Schizosaccharomyces pombe: one gene and its partners. The protein of the gene in region 2 interacts with the protein of the main gene of each other region in a biochemical or structural test. Each region holds a gene or a part of one and is shown on either strand. Other genes may lie near its edges.

The links. Proteins that work in one complex are often made in the same cells at the same time.
Region 1: the proteins of nep2 (region 2) and ned8 form a complex in vitro, tested with the Schizosaccharomyces pombe proteins (one study listed by BioGRID).
Region 3: the proteins of nep2 (region 2) and cul1 form a complex in vitro, tested with the Schizosaccharomyces pombe proteins (one study listed by BioGRID).

The regions. Positions count from the first base shown.
Region 1 is NC_003423.3:2,317,633-2,323,572, forward strand, and holds ned8 (ubiquitin-like protein modifier for cullin Ned8), read right to left. Parts: upstream 2,664-5,940; 5' UTR 2,625-2,663; coding exon 2,607-2,624; intron 2,559-2,606; coding exon 2,541-2,558; exon of another isoform or gene 2,470-2,540; coding exon 2,357-2,469; exon of another isoform or gene 2,307-2,356; coding exon 2,219-2,306; 3' UTR 2,126-2,218; downstream 1-2,125. Other genes in the region: thioredoxin Trx2, read right to left, coding at 352-619, 702-835; ATP-dependent RNA helicase Spb4, read left to right, coding at 2,751-2,785, 2,915-4,700; SPOM_SPBC24C6.03 (proline--tRNA (Pro) ligase), read left to right, coding at 5,392-5,940.
Region 2 is NC_003423.3:1,449,174-1,457,527, reverse strand, and holds nep2 (NEDD8 protease Nep2), read left to right. Parts: upstream 1-2,855; 5' UTR 2,856-4,093; coding exon 4,094-5,341; 3' UTR 5,342-6,197; downstream 6,198-8,354. Other genes in the region: SPOM_SPBC32H8.15 (uncharacterized protein), read right to left, coding at 2,195-2,500; SPOM_SPBC32H8.01C (uncharacterized protein), read left to right, coding at 6,424-6,513, 6,592-6,641, 6,734-7,157; kinetochore protein Mis15 , read left to right, coding at 7,373-7,679, 7,738-7,871, 7,925-8,354. UniProt on the Schizosaccharomyces pombe protein: Protease that catalyzes two essential functions in the NEDD8 pathway: processing of full-length NEDD8 to its mature form and deconjugation of NEDD8 from targeted proteins such as the pcu1, pcu2 and pcu4 cullins and other proteins. Has a role in meiosis.
Region 3 is NC_003424.3:3,608,947-3,617,008, forward strand, and holds cul1 (cullin 1), read left to right. Parts: upstream 1-3,110; 5' UTR 3,111-3,177; coding exon 3,178-3,245; intron 3,246-3,290; coding exon 3,291-3,377; intron 3,378-3,475; coding exon 3,476-3,540; intron 3,541-3,651; coding exon 3,652-3,728; exon of another isoform or gene 3,729-3,930; coding exon 3,931-5,937; downstream 5,938-8,062. Other genes in the region: ghs2 (glucosidase), read right to left, coding at 1-793; protein slt1, read left to right, coding at 6,680-7,981. UniProt on the Schizosaccharomyces pombe protein: Core component of multiple cullin-RING-based SCF (SKP1-CUL1-F-box protein) E3 ubiquitin-protein ligase complexes, which mediate the ubiquitination of target proteins.

The DNA.
Region 1 (5,940 bases), 870 kb from region 2:
AAAGGATATATTAATGCTTTATCTATGAACCTCAAAAATTATTCCTTAATCACCTCATAGAAATACTCACGTTGTTATAAAATAGCTCATTCTTGTAGCTTCCTGTGTTAATTGAGTTGAACATTCCCCTATTAGGTATTTCTGAAAGGATATTTTTGATTTCAGCAAATTTGGTCCGGCAATTATATAATGAAATTCATAAAGTAAAAACCCTTAAATCTTAAATCTTAAATAAAATAAGCCGTGTCAAGTTTTTAAAACCTAGTTTTGACATAATACAGTGCAATCAACAAATTGAATCGAGAAAGTAAATCAAGCAATTTACGAATGGGGACACCAATATCCCATATTCTATTCTTGATATTTTGCCAACAAAGAAGATAAAGTTTTCACATCAGCGCCGACGATTCTGTCCAATTCTTGACCCTTACGAAACAATACCATGGTAGGCAAGGCATAAACACCGTTCTTTTGAGCAATATCAGAAAATTTATCTGCATTAACAGCAATAAAAGATGCTTTCTGATTTTGTTCGCTTAATTTTTCAAGAAACGGTTTGAGGTATTTGCAAGGACCGCACCAGTCTGCATAGAAATCAACGACGGTAACTTTGTCAGCACTAGTAGCAATTAGCAAGGAGATCTATTCGAAAAAGTTTTATCTTTTATTTTTTACTATGATATATTATTGACTATACATACCTAATTCGAGTATTGTAATCGCCAAACGATTCAACTGCGTTCACCTTTCTCAAAATACGAGAGCTAGTAAAACTTCTGCGCAGAGCAAAAGATCTCATATGCGGCTTTAAAGAGTTTGCAATAAATCCACGCATTTGAATTATAATTTTGGTTGACGGTTTTAATCAAAAATTTAAATAGGTGAAATTATAGCACTTAGTAAGCTAGAACTACCGCCAGGCGGAGAAAAGTGCTTAGTTGCGATCATAAACATTACTCTTTAATACAATATTTTTTAAATTATTACAACATTAATTCAATAAAAAAAGATTAAAAATTTGGGAAACCAATAAAAAAAATTATAATTTAGCATCATTTTTCCCTCTTTATTATATTTTATTAGAATCCTTATTGGAAAATAGAAGCTTTCAAAAAATCTGTAGCCGAACAATTTGAGAGATTTTTTTTTTTTTTTTTTTTTTTTTAATAACTTTAAAAAACACCTAATGAAGTTTATAAATCCTTACCTTTGTTGATTAAACTAAAGTTACTTTAATTTGTTCTTAAATATACAGCCCAAAGATTTTTGGATGGATTTTTTGTACTCACGATTATAAAAACTAGTACTTCAATCTTAAGATTACATAAAACTTCGAAAATCCGGTTATCAGAATTAATTTGAAATTAAGAAAGAATATCATTTTTTTTTAATTTTTATAATAGTAATTTGGCTTTATGCAGACTATTTATAATTAAATGAATCTCTCTTGCTTTTAAATAGAGCAGTTCCTTAAAGCCGATGTCACTTTCTCATAAACAAAAAAAATTTAAAACTTCTTAAATAGAAAAATGAGAATCAATACATTGAAATGGCAATTTATAAGCATATTGATTATACTTTCCTCCTTAAAAATGTAATTTATATAGATTTACATGTATATTTCCTTTATATATGTTTAAGTGGCACCCCTATCAATGTGGCCGTTTGGTCTAGTGGTATGATACCATCTTAGGGTGATGGTGGTCGTGGGTTCGATTCCCACAACAGCCCATGTTTTTGCTACATAGCATTTTGCAGTTAGTTTTATTTAAACAACATTTTCTTTTAGTCTTACTAGAGATTTTGCGTTTATGGTAATTACATTCGATGTTGTACTGAGGAAGTTTTGCTTCGCATGCTACTGCTTTATATACTTTGATATCAGATGGGAATGCGCAAGCAATTGTTGTTATATATTGACTTTTCTGTGCAAAACGTCTCTTTACGACTACTTTACTCATAAATTAACAAGAAGTAATCAATCTTATCGCTGAAATTCATGATCACCAAAACGTCTTAAGTTTAGAAAAGCTTAAGCAATATTTTTATACAAATCAATAGATTCACATAAAATGAAACAGAGCAATAATAAAGCGACTCAATTCTCATTTCGTTACTCTTAGTATTAGTAAAACAGTAAAAAGATTTCGTTTATAGCGTTAAATAAAAGTATGATTTTTTATACATAATTTTTCTTTATAAATAAAGTATGCAACAACTAGCAACTTCCTCCACGAAGAGCTAACACAAGATGCAAGACGCTGCCTCCTTCTAAATGATAACTTTCAGCATTTTTATCATCAGCCCTACGTGATGTTTGTTAGAATCATTGTATGGATGTTCCCATAGTGCTTACATTTGCTTTCCAGCGTAGATCAGACGCTGCTGTGAAGGAGGGATACCCTCTTTTTCTTCAACCCGTTCTTTGATCCTAGAAACCTTGTCATTTGGATCAATGTCTAATTCGATCTTATATTTTGGTTAGAAACATAGATGAATTATAACTGCATATAAATGTTTTCAACATTTAAAACACGAACCTCTTTCCCTGTCAATGTCTATGATTATATATTAGTATACATAAAAAAGAAATAAATTTATCTTACTTTTACTTTGATAAGCATGCTAACTTTTATAAACGCTTTTCTGAAATTGTTGTGGTTAAACGCTAGCAGTTCCTCTCTCTCCCTATAAGCATTCCCCTCTGGCTCACCTCGCGAAAAATTGAATTGGTCTTCAAAGAGGGGACAATGAGTTTTCAGAGTATTAATATAGATAAATGGCTGTAAGTTTTCAATTCTAAAATAAAAATTTTAGGTTCTGCTACATGTTTAACCTGTTCAAAAATTTTTATTATCTAAATGATACCAGGATTTTGTCAAATCAACAATTTACAAGCACTAACATAAACTAGAAAGAACGCCGTAGCTGCTCAAGGATTTAAAAAAATGACACCCGTTCAGGCTAATGCCATACCATTATTTTTGAAAAATAAAGATCTGGTAGTTGAAGCAGTAACGGGTTCAGGCAAGACTTTGGCCTATTTACTTCCTTGCTTCGATAAAGTCACTCGTAGAGATACGGACGAAACAGGTTTGGGTGCATTAATTGTTGCACCTACTCGTGAATTAGCTACACAGATATTCAATGTTACCAAAGAGCTTTTGGCGTACCAACCAGACTCTTTGGATGGAGGGAAAAAACTCGTTGCAGATATGTATATTGGGGGAAAGGGAACGCTCACGAATGATTTAGCTTCATTTCGGGAAAAAAACCCCTCAGTGGTGATTGGTACACCCGGTCGATTGAATGAAATGCTTTCTCATATATCCAGTAAGCATTTGGAAATACTAATATTAGACGAAGCTGATACCCTTATTGACATGGGATTTCAGCGTACATTACAATCCATTATATCTCAACTTCCGAAACAACGTCGAACTGGGTTGTTTAGCGCAACAATGAATGACACTGTGTCATCATTTTTAAAAATTGCTGGCCTTCGAAATAGCGTACGTGTTTCTGTGACAGTTACATCAAAAAAAATTGATACAAGAACACCGTCAAGTCTAGCTATACAATCTTTAGTGATTCCTCCCATATACAAAGTACAATGTATGATACATTTGCTTTGTACGATCGAATACGAAAAAGCAATTGTTTTTTTTTCTTCTTGTGCTTCTGTTGAATATTTTAACTCCCTTTTTCTCACTTATAAATTACCGTTTGAAATAGTAGCTTTGCATGGACAGCAAGTTCAGTCGAATCGATCACGTAATTTTGAAAAATTTAAGAAATCAAATAAAAAAACAGTTCTTTTTACAACTGACATTGCTTCCCGGGGTCTTGATATTCCAAATGTTGACTTTGTTCTTCAGCTCGACCCGCCTTTGGATCCGAAATCTTTTTCTCATAGATGCGGCAGAGCTGGTCGCGCTGGTCGAGCGGGTGTTGCAATAGTTTTGTTAAATGATGGAAGAGAAGAAGAATATGAGGAATTGTTAAGGGTTAGGAAGGTACCTATTACTCGTATAGACACTCCAATTGAAGCTTTAGATCTTTCACGACTTAAAGTATTAACCCACGAATTGAGAAAAATCGTATCCAAAGACAGAGATCTATATGATAAGGGATTAAGAGCGTTTGTTTCACATGTTCGTGCGTACACAAAACATCATGCGTCGTTTATTTTTCGTATCAAAGATTTGGATTTGGGACAGTTGGCCACGGCATACGCTTTATTACATCTTCCAAAAATGCCAGAGTTAAAAGACACCGAAATATCCGAAAATATTTTTAAAAAATTTGACATTGATTATGCAACCATACCATACCGTGATCAAGTACGCGAGCAGGCCAGACGACGCCGATTGGAAGTCGAAAAAACTGAACCCAAAAAATTAGCTCGGCCAGCAAAAATTAAGAACGAAGCTTGGTCCAAACAAAAGGAAGTAAAGGAGAAGCGTAACACCCGACGTGAAAAAAGGAAATCCAAGAAAGAATTTTTGAAGGCACAGAAAAACGAAGCTTCTAATAACCTGAAACAAGAAATAGTATCAAAAGCTGGAGCACAAGAAACGGAAAACGATGACTTAATAGATGAGGAATCGGATGCTTTATCTGAATTAGAAGAGGATTACCGACAGTTGAAAAAAAGCAAAAAAAGAAAAAATCAAGCATCCTTTGGATTTAGTATGTAGCAATGTATTTTTAGGGAATGGAAAAAAAAACGGGGTTTTGGAAATATAGGAAAGTCTTTTAGTATTTTTAAATATTTGAGAACTTGGAAGATTAATTGGAGTTGTTCAGCAAATATTAAGTTCTTATTCATCAGCATTTATTTTTGAATTACTGCATTTGTATATTTACTTTACATTTACAACGATTACTTAACAAATTTGTGAAAAATGCAATTAAGCGTTTATCTACACATAATTCTGCGATCAATTTGATATTTAAGAAGTAAAATACTTTAAGCAACTGAAGCAGTAGATACATTCAATAAATTTAGATTACATTTCCACAATTAATTCCAAATTTTTTTTACTAAAATCTGGTTAAGGATATCATATATATATTTTACTAATTACTTATAGTGCTGTCTACGGCCATACCTAGGCGAAAACACCAGTTCCCGTCTGATCACTGCAGTTAAGCGTCTGAGGGCCTCGTTAGTACTATGGTTGGAGACAACATGGGAATCCGGGGTGCTGTAGGCTATTCCTAACTTTTTGCTAGCCTTATTGCAATAAGGAGGTCAACTCAGTTATTTATTTGGACGAACCCAGCGCCTATTTCGATTACTATTGACAAACTACTTCTATTGGATCATTTATTTTGCGATTCTGAAATTTTTTATATGCTTTTGTATAAAAACACCATGTTTAAAAAATGCTACAACATTTAAGGAATCGTGCATCGATTGAAGTGCTAGGGAAAGCGATACGTAAATACAATGTCCCGGAATCAGCGAATCAGTTACTTATAGATATGGGGTTTATCCAGCCGTCTATGCCTGGAATTTTTCAATATTTACCTCTGGGGTTGCGTGTACAAAATAAAATATGTGACTTGTTGCACATATCAATGCGTTCTTTGGGTGCTTCAGCGATCAGTTTGGCACATCTTTCTAGTAAGGAGATATGGGAGAAAAGTGGAAGATGGCAAAAGACTGGAAGTGAACTTTTTCGTCTTCATGACCGAAATGACAGAGAAATGTGCCTTGCTCCTACCCATGAGGAAGATGTTACTCGCACTATGGCTACAATCATAGATTCTCAAAAGCAATTACCGATACGTGTTTACCAGATAGGTCGAAAGTTTCGGGATGAATTACGTCCGCGAGGTGGTCTTCTTCGCGGTAGAGAGTTCATGATGAAGGATCTTTATACTTTTGATATCGACAAAGCATCCGCTATGAAAACTTACGAGGATGTTTTG
Region 2 (8,354 bases):
TTAAAAAGCGCGTACAGTCTTGGAAAAGGGAAAAGGCAGCTTGGAAAAGTGATGGATGGTGGAGGACCAACATTTTTAGGGGGAGAGATTAAGGAAGGCTAGCGAGGAAAGCTAAAGCTACAGTGAAGGAAGATTGGGTTGAAGGAAAGGAGAATAAGATGATATGAGGAGGAATATTACTGTAATAAGAAGGTATCGGTCTTGGAAAGAGAAAACTAATGATAATATGAAAGTTTGGGTAATATCAAAAAAGAGTAGAGTGATATCAATTGTAGGATGGAATAATAATGTAAATAGTGATAATAGTATTGTTTTAATAGTAATATTGTTTAAAGGAATCAGCGGTATACATACGGTGGTAAATACAGTGGTAAATAGTATGGATAATGTGATCATGATATAAGGAAAACATTGATGGCGTATAAGAGTAGGAAAAGAGTGGTTTATCAAGAGTAATAAATATTGGTCGTAGATAAAATAACGTCGCAGCAATAAAAAAAGAAGCGACGGACTAGCAAAGTGCAAACGAGAAACAACATTGAATAAAGCGAAAAGGGATGGAGATTGAATGGAAGGAAAACAAACCATTGTCGCGAGTAAAAGGAATAGATGGAGAGGTAAACAAGGAAGAAGAAACAATAAAAGTAGAATAATATATTAATGATTATAGCGGCAAAAAAAAAAAAAATTTAAAAATAATAATAATAATAATTTATGAATCAATCATTAAAAGGAAAATCAAAAAGAAAATAAATGACTGAATAATAACAAACTGAATAGTGAATAAGGATTACAACGCAACGAAAAATAAATACATTAGCAAATATTGAATGAATTAAAATATCAAATGAAACCCCAAAAATAAAAATAGATAATTTAATTTGATTAAATAAATAGTTAGTAATGATTGAGGATGGAGGATCGAAATGAGTTTGTAAATGCAGTGTCTATTATTGTGCATTGCTAAAACATCAGAAGAGAGAGAGGAAGCAAGTTTGAGAAGGATTTTTATTTGAATTTACATTTACATTTAGATTTTTATTTTATTTTTTTAGATTTTAATTCAATTTTATTTTGATTTTATTCAATTTTATTTTATTTAATTTTTATTTATTTATTTTTTTTTTGGATTTTACTTTGTTAGCCAGTGATTTATTTTTATTTATGTTACAATGGTTATAGTCAAACACATTTAGAGTGAAACAGTAAACCAACGGCTTTAAAAATTAGTGAAACACAAAACCAAAACTTTATTACATTATAGCGATCCCTCATTACCATACAACAAACTCATTTACAGTAAAAACAAGATAGAGCTTAACTCTACATTATTTAAAATAAGAAAAAGAAAAAAGAAAAAAGAAAGAAAAAGAAAAAAAGAAAGAGATTTTACTTGTCATGCTTGCCTCTCCCTCTCCCTTTCTCCCTTCATCTTGCTTCATCTCCATCTTCATCTTCATTTCCATTTCCTTATCCATTTGCTAAACGTCATAACGTAACTTAAGGCAAAAGCCTCGAATCTACCGACTCCGCATTTTACGAATGTTTGTGTTTTTGCTTTATTATTTTCCCTAGTAACCCATCCACGTCCACAGGCAACAAACATAATGTGGCAAACCAAAAATTTTAATTCGAAATTTGAAGCGCTGCGTAGAAAACGGTAAATCAACTCTATTCTGGTGGGAAAGGGGATGACCCAACTATCATTGATTACAGCAACCATTATCAAAGTTTGGTAATGCGTAAGAAAAGAAGCGAAGTCCAGTCTCACTCGTTTAAACCGTCGATTAACGTTTAGGTTTTTTTTATTCTTTTTCTAATTTTTTAACTACATCATCGAAAGAGAGATGAGAGGGAGAACACAAACAAAACAACAACCTCATTTCGTCACAATCGGATAAGAAGTAATGGATTGTTTAATGTTGATAATGAAAGGAAAGGAAATGAAAAAAGGGTGGGTGAAAGATGAGTTGTGTTGGAATGTTTGTCTTGTTTTCCAAGCCTATTCTATCTTTTTTGACACAAATAGTAACATATATTACTTTTTACTTTTGCTATCACTGGCATCATTCAACTCTTTTCACCTCCGATTCCATTCCAATGTCCAAATTTCCTTGCGATTCTTGTTAGTTTTCGCCCCACCCAAAAAATTCCCTTTCCCCCCCCCTTTTTACCACTAAACAACAACCGCATATCATTTGCCGAGCATCCCCGCTTCCCCGCCCAGCATTTCAATTACCCCTCCTTTTGAGAGGAGAGCTCGGCCGACCCATGTCGGCCTGAGAATTCGAGACCAAGGAAAAAAATATTGCATGTCAACTTTATGTGGCCAACCGCAATGCAAAGAAGTGGAAAGCGGTGCGTAGCAGTGGATAGCAAACGATAAGGAGTGAGATGAGAGAAAGAAAAATATAGAGAGAGAAAAACATAGAGGGATGGAGAAGAGACACATGATGGAAATAAAAAGAGTATGCGCGATATTTGAGTATCGAAAAGTCATTGAAAGTATTATTTGATAATTAATTTTCTAAAAAAACCTTTTCACACATTATAGTTTCACTTGGATTTTATTCTCTGTTTACACTAGACGATATGTCTCTCTCTCTCTCTCTCTCATCTTTCTCATTTTAACACACCACCCTCTTTTTCACTATTCCCCTCTTTTCATCTCTTCTCTCCCCAGTCCACTAGATTACGCTATATTGGTGTCATCTTTTGATCATTCTTCCCCTTCTCGGCATCCCTCCCCCCTCCCCCCGCCGTCGACTATTCTTCCATATTATTGTTACCTGTCTTCTCCACCCATCTCCATCTTCACCTCCACATTCTGGGTCTGTCTTTTTGCCCTTTACCCCAACTTTTTGCCAACCACAAAAGTACGTGTTGGACGGTCATTGCCGGCTCCTTTTCTGAACACTCCTTTCATCATTTTTTGCTTTTTCATTGCTCAGAAAACTTCTTTCCTCTACACAATACTCACCACTTAATTTCCTCTCTTCTCACTACTACACACTTTTTTTTTAACTCTCTTCTCTACTCTCTGTAGGTGTGTGTGTGTGTGAGTGTGCGAGTGTATGCGTACGTGCGTGTACAAGTGTGAGTGTGTTCTGCTGACTGTTCGTTCGTCTTTCTCTCTCTATACAATTTCTACTACATTCATTCTCACCATTTTTATTCTAATCCTTGTTTTTCTTTTTTTCTTTCTCCACATTGTTTGGTGAGGTGGTTGAATTGTTTTTTTTTATATTATAGAAGTTTCTCTATTGGTTTTTTCCTTCTCATATTTTTGGCATTTTTCCTCCTTTTTCTTTTCTTCTTTCTCTTTCCCTGCATCCTTTTGATTTGCTTTTCTTTTCCCGTTTTACTTTTTACTTTGCACGTTCTCCTTTTTTAAAGGCTTTTTTTCTCCTCCTTCTCTCGACGTCGTCTTCTTTTACTTTTATTCGTAACCAACTTAAGACTCGTCTCTACCTCAAATTATCTCTCAATTCTATTCCATCTGGATTCTCTCGGATTTCTTCCTTGCGCTTTTTTTATCTCCTTTTTCTTCCTTCTTAGCGCTCCAACTCTCCGTTAATCGTTTTTCCTTTTTTTTCCCGTTGCAACCCTTGGTTTCATCTCATCATCTTTTATCCCTCCAAACTCATTTATCCTCGATCCAAATCCAATCCAATCCAATTCAATTCAAGCTTCCTAATTGCTTGCTTGCCCAATTGCATTCGAAAACTTCCCAGTTAACAACAAGTTTTTCCATTTGCTATTTCTTTTGTTTTTGCTTTGCCTTTTTTTTTTACCTTTCTCTTTTAGTTTCTAATTTTCTTTTTCCTTTTATTTGTTCATACTGTCTTTTCCTAACTCTGTGAAAAAAAAAGAATTCGATATTTATTTATCCAATTCTTTCTTCTTTTCATTCAATTTTTTACTCTCCTTTTATTTCCTTTCTCATTTGCAATTCTCGTTCTTTCCCATTGTTCACTTTAGAAATAAAAAAGTGCTTATTTTCTTATTACCTGCCTGGTAAAAAACGCGTTTCTAAAAACTTGTATTCGTCTTTTTCTCTTTCTCCCACTGTCCTATATTCCACTTTTAAAAAATGCGCTCCAATTCCATTTTCACAAAGGAAATCGACAGCGAGGCTGTGAAAAAGTCTAGCAATTTACGTCCTCCCTCCACCGGCTCTTCCAATTCTAATGGCTCTGATACCGCTTCTCCCAAAAAGAAGAAAAAGGGCTTTTTCCGTTCCTTGTTTGGCAGCAGCAGCAGCGGATCAAAGTCTTGCGGTTCCCCGTTTACGCGCATCTGGCTTGAATATTTCGAGGTTTCCCTTCGCAAAAACGACGTCGACCACTTTCGTCCTGGGTATTGGATCCTTGATACAAACATCGATTTCTTTTACGAAATTATGTTGCGTCAAGTCTTGCTCAAACGTCCCAAGGAGGAGAGTCAACAAATATACTTGCTTCGTCCTGCTATGGTCTTCTTTTTGGCCCAGGCTCCTAATCCTTTGGAAATCGAGTCTGCCTTACCTCCTGCCATGTTTGATGCATCGTTTATCTTTCTTCCTATCAACGATACCAATGAGTGTGGTATCGAGAGCGGCTCGCATTGGAGTTTGTTAGTCGTCTCCGTTGAAAAAGGTTTGGGCTGGTACTATGACTCCATGTCCAATGGTAATACCAATGACTGCAACCTTGCCATCAAAAACCTTGGCATTCTCCTTAAAAAGGAATTCCGTGTCCGACACATGAAGACTCCACAACAAATTAATGATTGTGATTGCGGCCTTCATGTTTGCGAGAATACTCGTATCCTCATGTATCGTCTATTGCAAAAGCCTTATGTACCCAAAGTGGACATGAACTTGGACCATTCTGTTGTCGATAGTGTGCGTCTTCGCAAGGCACTAATGGAGGTCATTACTTCTTTACTTGCTGCTTATGGCTCCAAGGTACCCAAGCCTTCAGAAACGCATACCGATCCTGAAAAAGATAAAAAGATCTTTTCTAAAATATGCAAGACGGAAGAGTTGTTAGAGCTACCTACGCTAAGCGCTGTTACTTCTGATTCGGCCCAACCGCATTCTTTGCCAGCTTCTATGCCCAGTTCGCAACCTCAATCAAGGTCGGAATCTTTGCCGCTCACACATCCCAATTCGGAACCAAATCCAAAGCTCGATTCACAGCCCAACTCCTCACCAGTTCGTAGGCCATCATTAATAAAGGTAAAGACCGCTAGTACTTCTGTTCTTCCAACCTCGATACTTCAGAGACCACCCTCAATCGTACCGAGACCGGAAACCGCAGCTATACAACATACACAACAATCCATTGAGATTCATTAATTTCCTCTGTCTCCCAAAATGCAACTTGCTTTGAAGTGAAGTTTGGATGTCTGATTTATTTTTTGCTTCATCATCGAATTGCATCGCATTGCTTTTTTCATCCATTTTTTGCCGCTATTTCCGTGTTTCAAGCATACAAGTTTTATCGGATTGTTCAGATGGTTATTTTTTTGAGTCAAGTTTTGTCATTGTAAATCTTTAGATGTTCATTTGCATCCTCATATAGTCGTGAGAGATGAGGTATGAACGGATGTTTGTGTGTTATTTATGGAGGCTCGTCTTTTATTATTATTATTATATGTGTTTGGTTCTCGGTTCCTTATTATTATTATGTTGCTTGCTGGTTATTTTCTTGCACAATGTTGCTTATTTTTTAACTTGCTATTCCTTTTAGATAAAGGTATCTGGGTATAAGATTCCACTTATGCTGTTGCTGTACATTGCTGGTTTATCCGGTCACTCGTTTTTCCTTTTTTTTTTTCATTTTTCCATTGTTGATAAGAATTTGTCCCTTTTCTTTATCATTTCTAAATATTTATTTATCTTTGTATTGTCATTACTTATGCGTTTCATTTCTAAATCACTGATTTTTGCAATGTTTTCCATCTTTAGGTTTCCACCTTTTACTTGCTACAATTTTTATGAACAAACAAGTTGATCAATAGAAAATTTTGGAATTGCTTCCAGTGTTTTATTTTACCTTCCCTTTACAATAGGCTGAATAGACTTTACGAGTTGTATTCATTGTCCGAGGAAGGTTTTCAATAAGAAGTTTTGTTAACATGCCTTTTAATTGAATATGTATATGTGGGTGTACGTTGCACTAAAGCCTTTATTTATTTATTTATTTTTTTTGATCTGAGCAAAAAAAGTCAACATGTTGCTTAGTTGTCTATACAATGTTTGGGCAATTGCAAAAAAAATCAATAAAATAGATTGAGTATTTTATTTTTATTTTAGTTATAAATTAAATAAATTAAGTATTCTGTGGTGCTTGAACCGTCTATTAGATAAATTGATGTGTGAGTGTAATTCAGGCGATTCACCCCTTCTCTCTTCTTTACCTCAAATATAAAGTAGTAATGTTGAAGAAAATGCCGATGTCCAATAAATTTGAAAATTTCTATACATTGAGACAAGTTTCAGAAGTAGATAAAAAACCATGCTTTATTGTAAGAAACAACAGCAATTAAAAATTGCCCATTACCTTGATGAAGCACCATTTTCTAATACACTATTATCGTTTCTAGTGTTACAAGCCTACAAAATGGGTATTAATAACAAAAACTAAATTAGATTTGTAAGTAATCATTGTGAAAACCTTCATGGTTTGAGTTGATACATAATTTAATGGGAAGGAAAAAGTTTTTTTAACCAACAAAATAAAAATAGTTTTTATGTTTGCTACAATCATTTGCAAGATCGAGGTTTTGCTACACCAATTTCCGTGATTAAATCAGTGACTAACAAAATCGACACCAACAAACTAGAAGCTAAGGATGAGTCAAAAAACGTAGAGAAGGATGCGACCGGTAATCCACAAGAATCAAAACAGGAACCAAATTTAGAAGTGCAGCAGACAGAGAAGGAGAAAGATGTAGATTCGGCGTCTGCCGAGAATGAATCTATCAACTCCTCCTCCTCATCTTCTAAAGAATGTTCAACACAGACCCAATCCAAACACTATAATCTTCATCGAGATATTTTCCAAATGCGAATTCGATATCATGCTAATAGAGCAGCTGCCGAGAAAACAGCAAGACTTCTGCAATCTGGGCAAGGACTCCCTTCACCACCATCCAAACCATTGCCTTAGAAGAACTTGGGAAGAGTTAAATTTGCTTACAGCTGGTGCTGCCAAATGATCTCAAAGACCATTCTTTTGTAACATTAATATTTAACAAAACAAATATATCTGAAATCCTTCGTTAGTGATCAGTGTTTGAGAGGATAAAAAATTAGTCCACGGTAACGATTGATATATTGTGGCTCCTTGTCGTAAACATAAGATATTCAAAAAGGAGGACCGCTATGCGTACTGAATTGTCTAGTAATATTCGAATCAAGCATGACAAGAAGATCCAGAAGCTATTAAATCGATTTCCTAGGGATTTCTTAGTAAAATTGTGTGTAGAATGGATTCAGAAGCAAACATACCCACCAAATGCCAAAGACATCAATTTAGAAGATATGTTGGACGATGAAGAGTGGAATCCCGAAGCATTTTATAAAAATGTTCCAAAGAGCATGCTCAAACGCAGCATTATTCATCGAATGCTTGTGTACGATTGGCCTAATGGATTCTACTTGGGCCAAATTGCACAGCTGGAGATATTGGGTATGTATTTTTGTTGACACACCTTAACTATTCATTGCTTTCTAATATCAATTCACAGCTCTCGCTCATGGATTTGTCAGTATGCGGTGGACTGCTTCCAAAGTTCATCATTCCGCCGAAAAGACCGTTTTACCCAATCCTCTTGTCTTCTTAGAACTACTGAAGTCGGAATTAGAAAGCATATTTGTATATGTACGTGAACAGCGAAACATAATCATGGAAATATTTGCTAACCGTTTTAACAGCACACATATATCTCCAGGCATGAAACATTACCTATTACTTTTATCCGTCTCGTTTTATGGGATTCAAAACGACCCACTGCTTTGCACACGTACCCATCTTCCAAGCAAATATTTTACCTCGGTCTCATGGATGACTCAGATGTTTTACTACACAACATATTTTTACGAAATGATGTGTGTCATTCTCTATTTCTACAATGCTTATCGAGGCTACTTTATAGACTTAAAGCTGGTTCTGCCCTTCGACCCATAGACTTAGTCTCGAAAAACTTAACTACCTTTTGCACCAATGTTGGTGTTAATAAGGAAGCAAATGCCTTAGGAGCATGGCAAATTTACGCAAAAAACTTGGTAGATCGGTCTCCATTAGATACACGACCGATCCTTTCTGACGATAACAGTTCCCTCATTGCGGATAGCACTCAAAATT
Region 3 (8,062 bases), on a different chromosome or scaffold from region 2:
ATTGGTCATCGCCGTCATAAAATGCACGACCAGGGTAATTAAATTCATCAGAAAAAACAAGATCCAGAGTACCTAAATCCTGAGAATCAAACGTATAAGCACTTTCGGGGGTATCAGGATCTATCAAGCTTCCATAACGTAATAAACGTAAAATCCGAAATTGATGATTTGTAATACCAGTAACACGAGTACTAGCAAGTGAGTTATGGCCCGTGTATGTAAGAATGGGTAATCCAATAAACAGCATACCTGTCCCAGCAGCTAAAAAGAGAAGAAACAAGAGTTGCATTAATCCTTCTCCGCCTACGAAATAACTTAACTTTTTAGCATCTTTAGCGGGCAAAGGATAATGGAGAAAATCGTCAATTTCTTTATCTTCTCTACTCAAAGAAAAGTCGGATTCACCAGCGGTAGGACCGGCAAAAGCAACAGCCTCCAGTTTATTAATATTTTCAATATCATCAACTATGCTATTGTTTTGAGGTGAGGTAGAATACATATCTGATCCTGCGCTATTTCCACCGTTAGGATATCTATTATATGTCTGAGAGCTGGGTCTAATAGAGAATCTATGGGTATAGCCACTAGCTCTTGTTCCGCCGACACCGGCTGCCAAGGCTGCACTGCTAAATGTAGCGTTGGAGGCATTGTTGTACAACAGACGAGTAGAGGAATCGGTGGGATTTGTGAAAGAAGAAGTACTGGTGTCTCTCGAAGCGTACATAGAACCAATCTCATTCACGTTACCATCCGAAGGGGTTTTGCGATTTAAATCGCCACGTACATTATACATGATAAATCCAACGAAACCAGTTAAATCCCAAGAAAGAAGAACAAAAATGAATGAAAAGAAAGCTTAGTTAAAGAAGATTTCGCGCTTAGACACGTAACCACAAAAAGTCTTCGCTGAGTTGTGACAGCAAATAGTCTTCAAAATACTTCCAGCAAGTAAAAAAAAAAAAAAAACGTTAAACAAAAAACAAAAAGAATCTAAAGGAAAAAGATGATGAGCCTCAATCTCGAGAACGAAAGCTAATTCACTTGAAAATTTTCCTTTTTCTTGTAAAGTGCTCGAAAGCACTTTTCGCGTAAACGCACAAAGTATTTAAAAAATAAATACAAAAGAATGAATACTTGTAGCGATTTTGGAACGCTGGTGTACCTCACCAAGGTGGAAATACGGAAAGGTAGTATATAGGACTAGGCAAACTCCAAATGGTTGTTTGCGGACAATAGCGAGGCAAAGTCGGCGGAAGTTTAAAAAGACTTGAATGAAAGAACAACTAGGTATTCTTTTTACAGATTAATAAAAGGAACAGGATTTTAAAATGGATAGTTAACCTTCCAAGTGTTGAAAAAAAAATTAAAAACAAAAGCCAAATTAATGACTTAAAAGTCCAAGTAACTTTTTTGAAATAAAGTTTGGTCAGTTCATAAAACAAGTATTTTCTTTTTTTTTTTTTTTTTTTGAGAAAAAAGAGGATTTGTTTACAGAAAAAAACAGGAAAGCAGAAAGACAGCGGTTTGAATAGCACAAGCTGAACTAGCTTATTTATAACGAAATTTTAAGTAAATACTGGAGACAAAGGTTAGTTATCCTCCCCCAATAAGATAACTGAGAAAAAGTCGATTAAGATAAAATTATGGAGAGAGAAATCAAAAGAAAGAAGAAAGGCCTAAAATAATAAGAAGATTGTATAATGACTATGGATTACTACTTTAAAATATATCTCTTAATATCACAGTATATAAACACTCTTGACTATTAGTGTGGAAATTGATGATGGATTGCAAAGAAAAGATGAGCGGATAGTTTCTAGAAAAAATTTTGGAATTCAAAAGACGAAGCAGTGATGTAAATAGCTTTTTTGCAGAGTTTCTTATGTTGAAATTGAATAATTACATAGAAACTTGAAGGTTCAAGGTTCATAAAAACGGAGAAAATGGGATATAATAGCAAATAAAAGAGAGAAACAGATATTATGTTTGTTTTTTAGAAAGAATCTCAACAAATTACAGATATTTTGATTGTATTGGAATACTAAACAAAAAAATATGTAAGTAAATAGTCAAGTGAGCAAAGTAGAACAATGCTGGCCACGCGTTAAAGGGGGAAAGGTGGTTAGCGAAGAATGGAATGTTTTCAACTCATTATTGCCATTCTACGAATATAAAAACACCTAAATTGTAAAAAAAAATAAAAAAAATAAAGCAAGCAAGTTTAAGTGATAAAGGAGGAAGCTAATTAGTTATGAAATTGAGAATAATTTTTGGTCTTATTCAGAATTAATAATAATTCGTCTGTTCCTAAGTGAATATAGAAAGCAGACTCCAAACGTGCGTATCCAAGCGCATTCTATTACTTTTATTTTAGTAGGTAAATGATAAAAAGTTCAATTTGAGGCCGCTTTTGATGCATCAACATTTTGCGACAATTTTACTTAGGAATTGGCTACCGTTAACGGCACTCAGAATTGTTTGAGGATGAGGCTCTGATGGTAAACAATAGATGGCGGTGCTCAAAAGATGGTATGAAGAGGTAATTTGTAGCGCGTTTGAGAAAGAGAAGGAAAAGTATTTCTGTTTTACAACATCTATGAAAGAGCATCCTGTTATGTTGGCCACATTGAAAATGTCAACCTATTTGAGGTCCAAATTAAACCCTTTTCAACATTTGTAAATATTTCATGGGTTTGAGATTTTCATTTAGTACAATATTACTATACACTTGTCAGAGATATCTTTTACACCATATGTGTATTTGCATCGAGCACTCAATATCCAGCGGATCGCATACATCATTCTTTTGGCAGAACAATAACTCAAATTTAAAGGATTTCTTTGGCATATTCATGTATATGTTGATAAATATTGGCTTTATGTCTTTGTTTTCATAATAATAAATGCGTTAATGAAGAATTTTTTAATATAATAATTATTTACTTAAAAAAAAATTAGATATTAAATATAATCTTATAAAGCACTTTTATAATGAGCTTTTGCTACGTACACCTGGCTACCTCTTGTACCTTCGTTCACTTCGTCGTTACCTGTAGGTTCTTGAAAGGATCAGTGCTACTATTTACTACGTTTACTCTATCTGCCATCTAAGAAAGAGCAATTGTGTGCTGAATAAAATATATTTTACTTGTTATACATTTATAACCATTTTGGTTAATGACTACTTTGAATACCAACGATAAAGACCTCCCGATTGTTAAAAAATATGATTCATTGAATGGAACGTATGTTACATTGTAACTGATTGACGATTGCTGATCTATATGCAGTTGGGACTTTTTAAAAACAGGTGTGTCCCAAATATTTGAAAGGCTAGATGAAGGAATGACTATCACTAAGTATATGGAGCTTTATACGTAAGTTAGTCCAATATTTTGAGATCTGAATACTAGTATATTAGTTATCAGATATTTCATGGCACCTATATTTATATACTTACATACTTTATTTTTAGAGCAATCCATAACTACTGTGCTGATGCGTCCAAAACTATAACGGTGGACAATTTCAACGATCAAAGTACGTAAAAAATAGATAAAAATTTATATTTTGACTCAGAATTTGTCAAAAAGAAGAACTACATATATTTTCTTATGATTATTTTCACTGGATTCTAACTGTATGTGCTAGCTGCAAACGTTTTAGGCGAAGCCCTTTACAATAATTTGGTTCTATATCTGGAAGAGTATTTGGCCCGTCTGCGAAAGGTGAGTTTAAATATCGGTTTTTTATTTATAATTCTACGACAAAGATTTCATTGCACCTCGAGTGTTCAGCAGTTTTCTTTAATTTCTAAACATTTTCTCTGGACATTTTAAAGAGTGCTAGCATAAGCATCTGGTCTTTTATTATGATTAAGGAATAAATTGCATTATGTGGTAATTTTTCTCGTGCTAATTGGCGCTTTAGGAATGCATTTCGCAAACGAATCATGAAGAGCAACTCGCTGCGTATGCCAAGTATTGGACGCGATTTACAACATCTGCCCGTTTTATCAACCATCTTTTTGGATATTTAAATAGATATTGGGTTAAACTGAAGAACAGATTTACTGAGACACTCGTGTACGACATTTACACACTTTGTCTTGTGTCATGGCATCATCACGTTTTTTCCCACATTCGCGATAGCCTACTTCAAAATTTGTTATACATGTTCACCAAAAAAAGATTATATGAACCTACTGATATGAAATATGTGGAAGTTTGTGTGGATTCTATCACTTCATTGAGCTTTGATAAAACCGATATGACAAAGCCTAACTTGAGCTCATACAAAACTTTTTTCGAAACAAACTTTATTGAAAATACAAAAAACTTTTATGCAAAGGAGTCTTCCGAATACTTGGCTTCCCATTCTATTACGGATTACTTAAAAAAGGCAGAAATAAGACTAGCAGAGGAGGAAGAGCTTGTGAGATTATATTTGCATGAATCCACATTGAAGCCGCTTTTAGAAGCGACTGAAGATGTACTAATTGCACAACATGAAGAAGTTTTGCACAACGACTTTGCACGCATGCTCGACCAAAACTGCAGTGAGGATATCATTCGCATGTACCGATTGATGTCTCGAACACCTAATGGGTTGCAGCCTTTACGCCAGACATTTGAGGAGTTTGTCAAGAGATCAGGCTTTGCTGCGGTTGCCAAAATTGTTCCCCAGGTCGGTGGAGAAGCCGATGTGGATCCTAAAGAGTATATGGAAATGTTACTTTCCACGTATAAAGCTTCCAAAGAACTTGTTAACACCGCATTTCATGGGGATACTGATTTTACAAAGTCATTGGATACAGCCTTTAGAGAACTTGTCAATCGAAATGTTGTTTGCCAGCGCTCTTCCTCTCGCTCCCCAGAGTTGCTTGCTAAATACGCCGACAGTATTTTGCGAAAAAGCAACAAGAATGTTGACATTGATGATGTTGAAGACTGTTTATCGTCGATTATCATTATTTTTCGTTATGTCGAAGACAAGGATGTTTTTCAAAACTTTTATACTAAGCTTTTAGCCAAGCGACTTGTGAATGGTACCTCTAATTCCCAGGATGCTGAATCTAGCATGCTATCTAAGTTAAAGGAAGTCTGCGGTTTTGAATATACTAGTAAGCTACAGCGTATGTTTCAAGACATCTCCTTGTCTCAAGAGATTACCGAAGCGTTTTGGCAACTCCCTCAGTCACGTGCTGGAAATATAGATTTCTCTGCTCTTGTACTTGGTACATCGTTTTGGCCTCTATCTCCCAACAATGTGAACTTTCATCTGCCAGAGGAATTAGTTCCTTTGTATGAAGGATTCCAAAACTATTACTATAGCTGCCATAACGGAAGGAAGTTAAGCTGGTTGTTCCATCTCTCTAAAGGAGAAATAAAGGCACGCATTAACCCTCAAACTAATGTCACTTATGTGTTTCAAGTTTCTACATATCAAATGGGTGTTTTGCTTTTGTACAACCATCGCGATTCTTATACATATGAGGAGCTGGCAAAAATAACTGGGTTAAGTACAGATTTCTTGACAGGGATTCTGAACATATTCCTAAAAGCAAAGGTGCTTCTCCTTGGCGACAATGACAAGCTTGGTGATCCTAATAGCACATATAAGATCAATGAAAATTTTAGGATGAAAAAGATACGGGTACAGTTAAATCTCCCAATTAGATCTGAGCAAAAGCAGGAATCTCTGGAGACTCATAAAACTATAGAAGAAGATCGAAAGTTACTGCTTCAATCCGCTATCGTCCGTATCATGAAGGCTCGCCGAACATTGAAACATGTAGTGTTAGTGAAAGAGACTATTGATCAAATTAAAAGCAGATTTACTCCTAAAGTGTCTGATATTAAGCAATGTATAGATATGTTAATCGAAAAAGAGTACCTGGAACGCCAAGGCCGCGATGAATACATTTACCTTGCTTGAGAGAAACATCTCCGCGAAATGCTCCAAAAAAAATGATATACTTTTCGAGTGTTATATATGTAATTAATCACGCAATACGAATTTTCTTTTTTCTTTTGTTTACATTCTTGTCTGCTAGTGATCTTTAATCCATTGAAACTAAGCTTTTAATAACGTAGGAAAGTCACCACTCCATTGAAGAAATGTGTAGCTTAGCTACATGCAAGCTATGCAACTTTTTTTTACTACTAGTTACTGGATAGCAACAACAAACTTCTATTATCCCATCATTTTACGTGGATAAGTCGTACAATGAAAAAGAAAAGAAAACAGTTATCGACCACATACATGCACCATTTCACGAAGTACAGATGCTTGAAATTGTGAAAGGATGTCAAAGATATGTTTTATATAATACATTTATTGTCAATTGTCGTCTTCGTCTTCCTCTGCAAATCGCTTGATTCTGTTAAAAAAGACATATATTGATTATTCAGCACGAAGAACGAAATGGTGCTTACAAATTAAAAAAAATTAATTGATCAGACTAATTAAGGCAATTTTAACGTTTTTATTGATTTACTACTTCCAGGTGTTGCTGGAGTGTTCATGGATGAAATGGATGATTCCGGTACATTCCGGTGCCAACACCATAGTATGACATAAATGAGTAAACATCGCGGTTCGCTCATTCTTCTTCAACACACCATCTTCCTTGACATATCGTTCTGAAAAAAAATACTAGGAAGAGAATCGTAGCATAATGGCGACTTTATTTCATCTTATAGATGTACATGGTAATGAATATCAAAATGTGCAAGACCACAGCCTTCAAATGGCCTTAGAAGAGCTGAATCAACAAATCGAAGTGATTCAACGCCAAGAAGAACAATTGGCTTTGCGAAAGAAGGCAATTGAGGATGCAAGGCAAGAAGTGCTCCAGCAAATTCAACATCGAAAATTCCGTCAATACTTGCATGAACGGGAACAAGAGGCTCGTTTGCAAGAGTATTATTTGGAGCAACTGCAAGAGCGTAGAGCTTTTGAAAATGTTGTACGGACTATAATCAGAAAGCGATTTGAGGATGAGGAGCGTGAAAGAGCTCATCGCAGGGAAAAGGCGGCTCGAAAGTTGCTACGCAGAATACTTGTCTCCGATTCACCCAATATGCAGCTTGTAGTGCCAAATAATTTCCAGCAAATGTTTATTCATCATCCAGTCGTAGACACAATATATTCTCCTGAAGAGTCTTCGGAATCCCAAGCTGAAGTCGCTGACCAACAAACTGGCCCATACTCTACATCAGAGTACGCAGGTGCTCAACAATCTCAACCATTTCGCATATTTATTCAAAACGACAATGCACCTGAACAACAAAGTGGCCCAGACGTTGCTGAGCTTAATACGCTACCAAATAGAAGCAAAACGTCTTCTCAAGCTAGTGTTTCTGATGAGGAGCTTTCTCGCACCGAGTTGGCCGAATTGAACGATTATTTATTGGCTGCTCAACGCCGCTCTAACAAACGTGGAAATGCTAGAAAACATATTGACTTAACTGCTCGTGAGAGCCCATCCACATCTTTCGCACAGATGTCGAAAGGTGCTTTGAATCCTGACCCAGAAGTCATTGAACCTGAAGACGAACCTACTACGTTTAGAAACCCACTAGAGGCATTGTTATCGACTGGTCAATATTCAGTGGTAAGTAGTGATGAGGACGTTGAATCTGTTCGTGATCCCGATGACGGGACGTTACCTATTCATTCTACCCAAACAGTTGAAGAGCCCATAGACACGAAGGCGGGAGAGAAATTAACTGACAGCTCAAAACAACCTTCACCTCCTGTTGCTGAACATTTCTCTAATGAGACCTTTTCGGCCTCTCCTAAAGGCGCTGAAACTGATGTAAAGAGTGAAGGAAGCAACAATCATGAGCAAGGCTCATTTAATGAACCTAAATCTAATGTTGACTCTAATGATTCTGCATCTCCGAAAAGACCATCTTCTCAAGCATCTTTACGACATAATGTTACTGTTGAAGAGGTCCCTGACGAGGATGCATGATAAATATTATATTTGTTTATTAAAAGATAAAATTTTCCTTCCTAACTACCAACAAATCTACTTTCAGACGAATCCATTTTT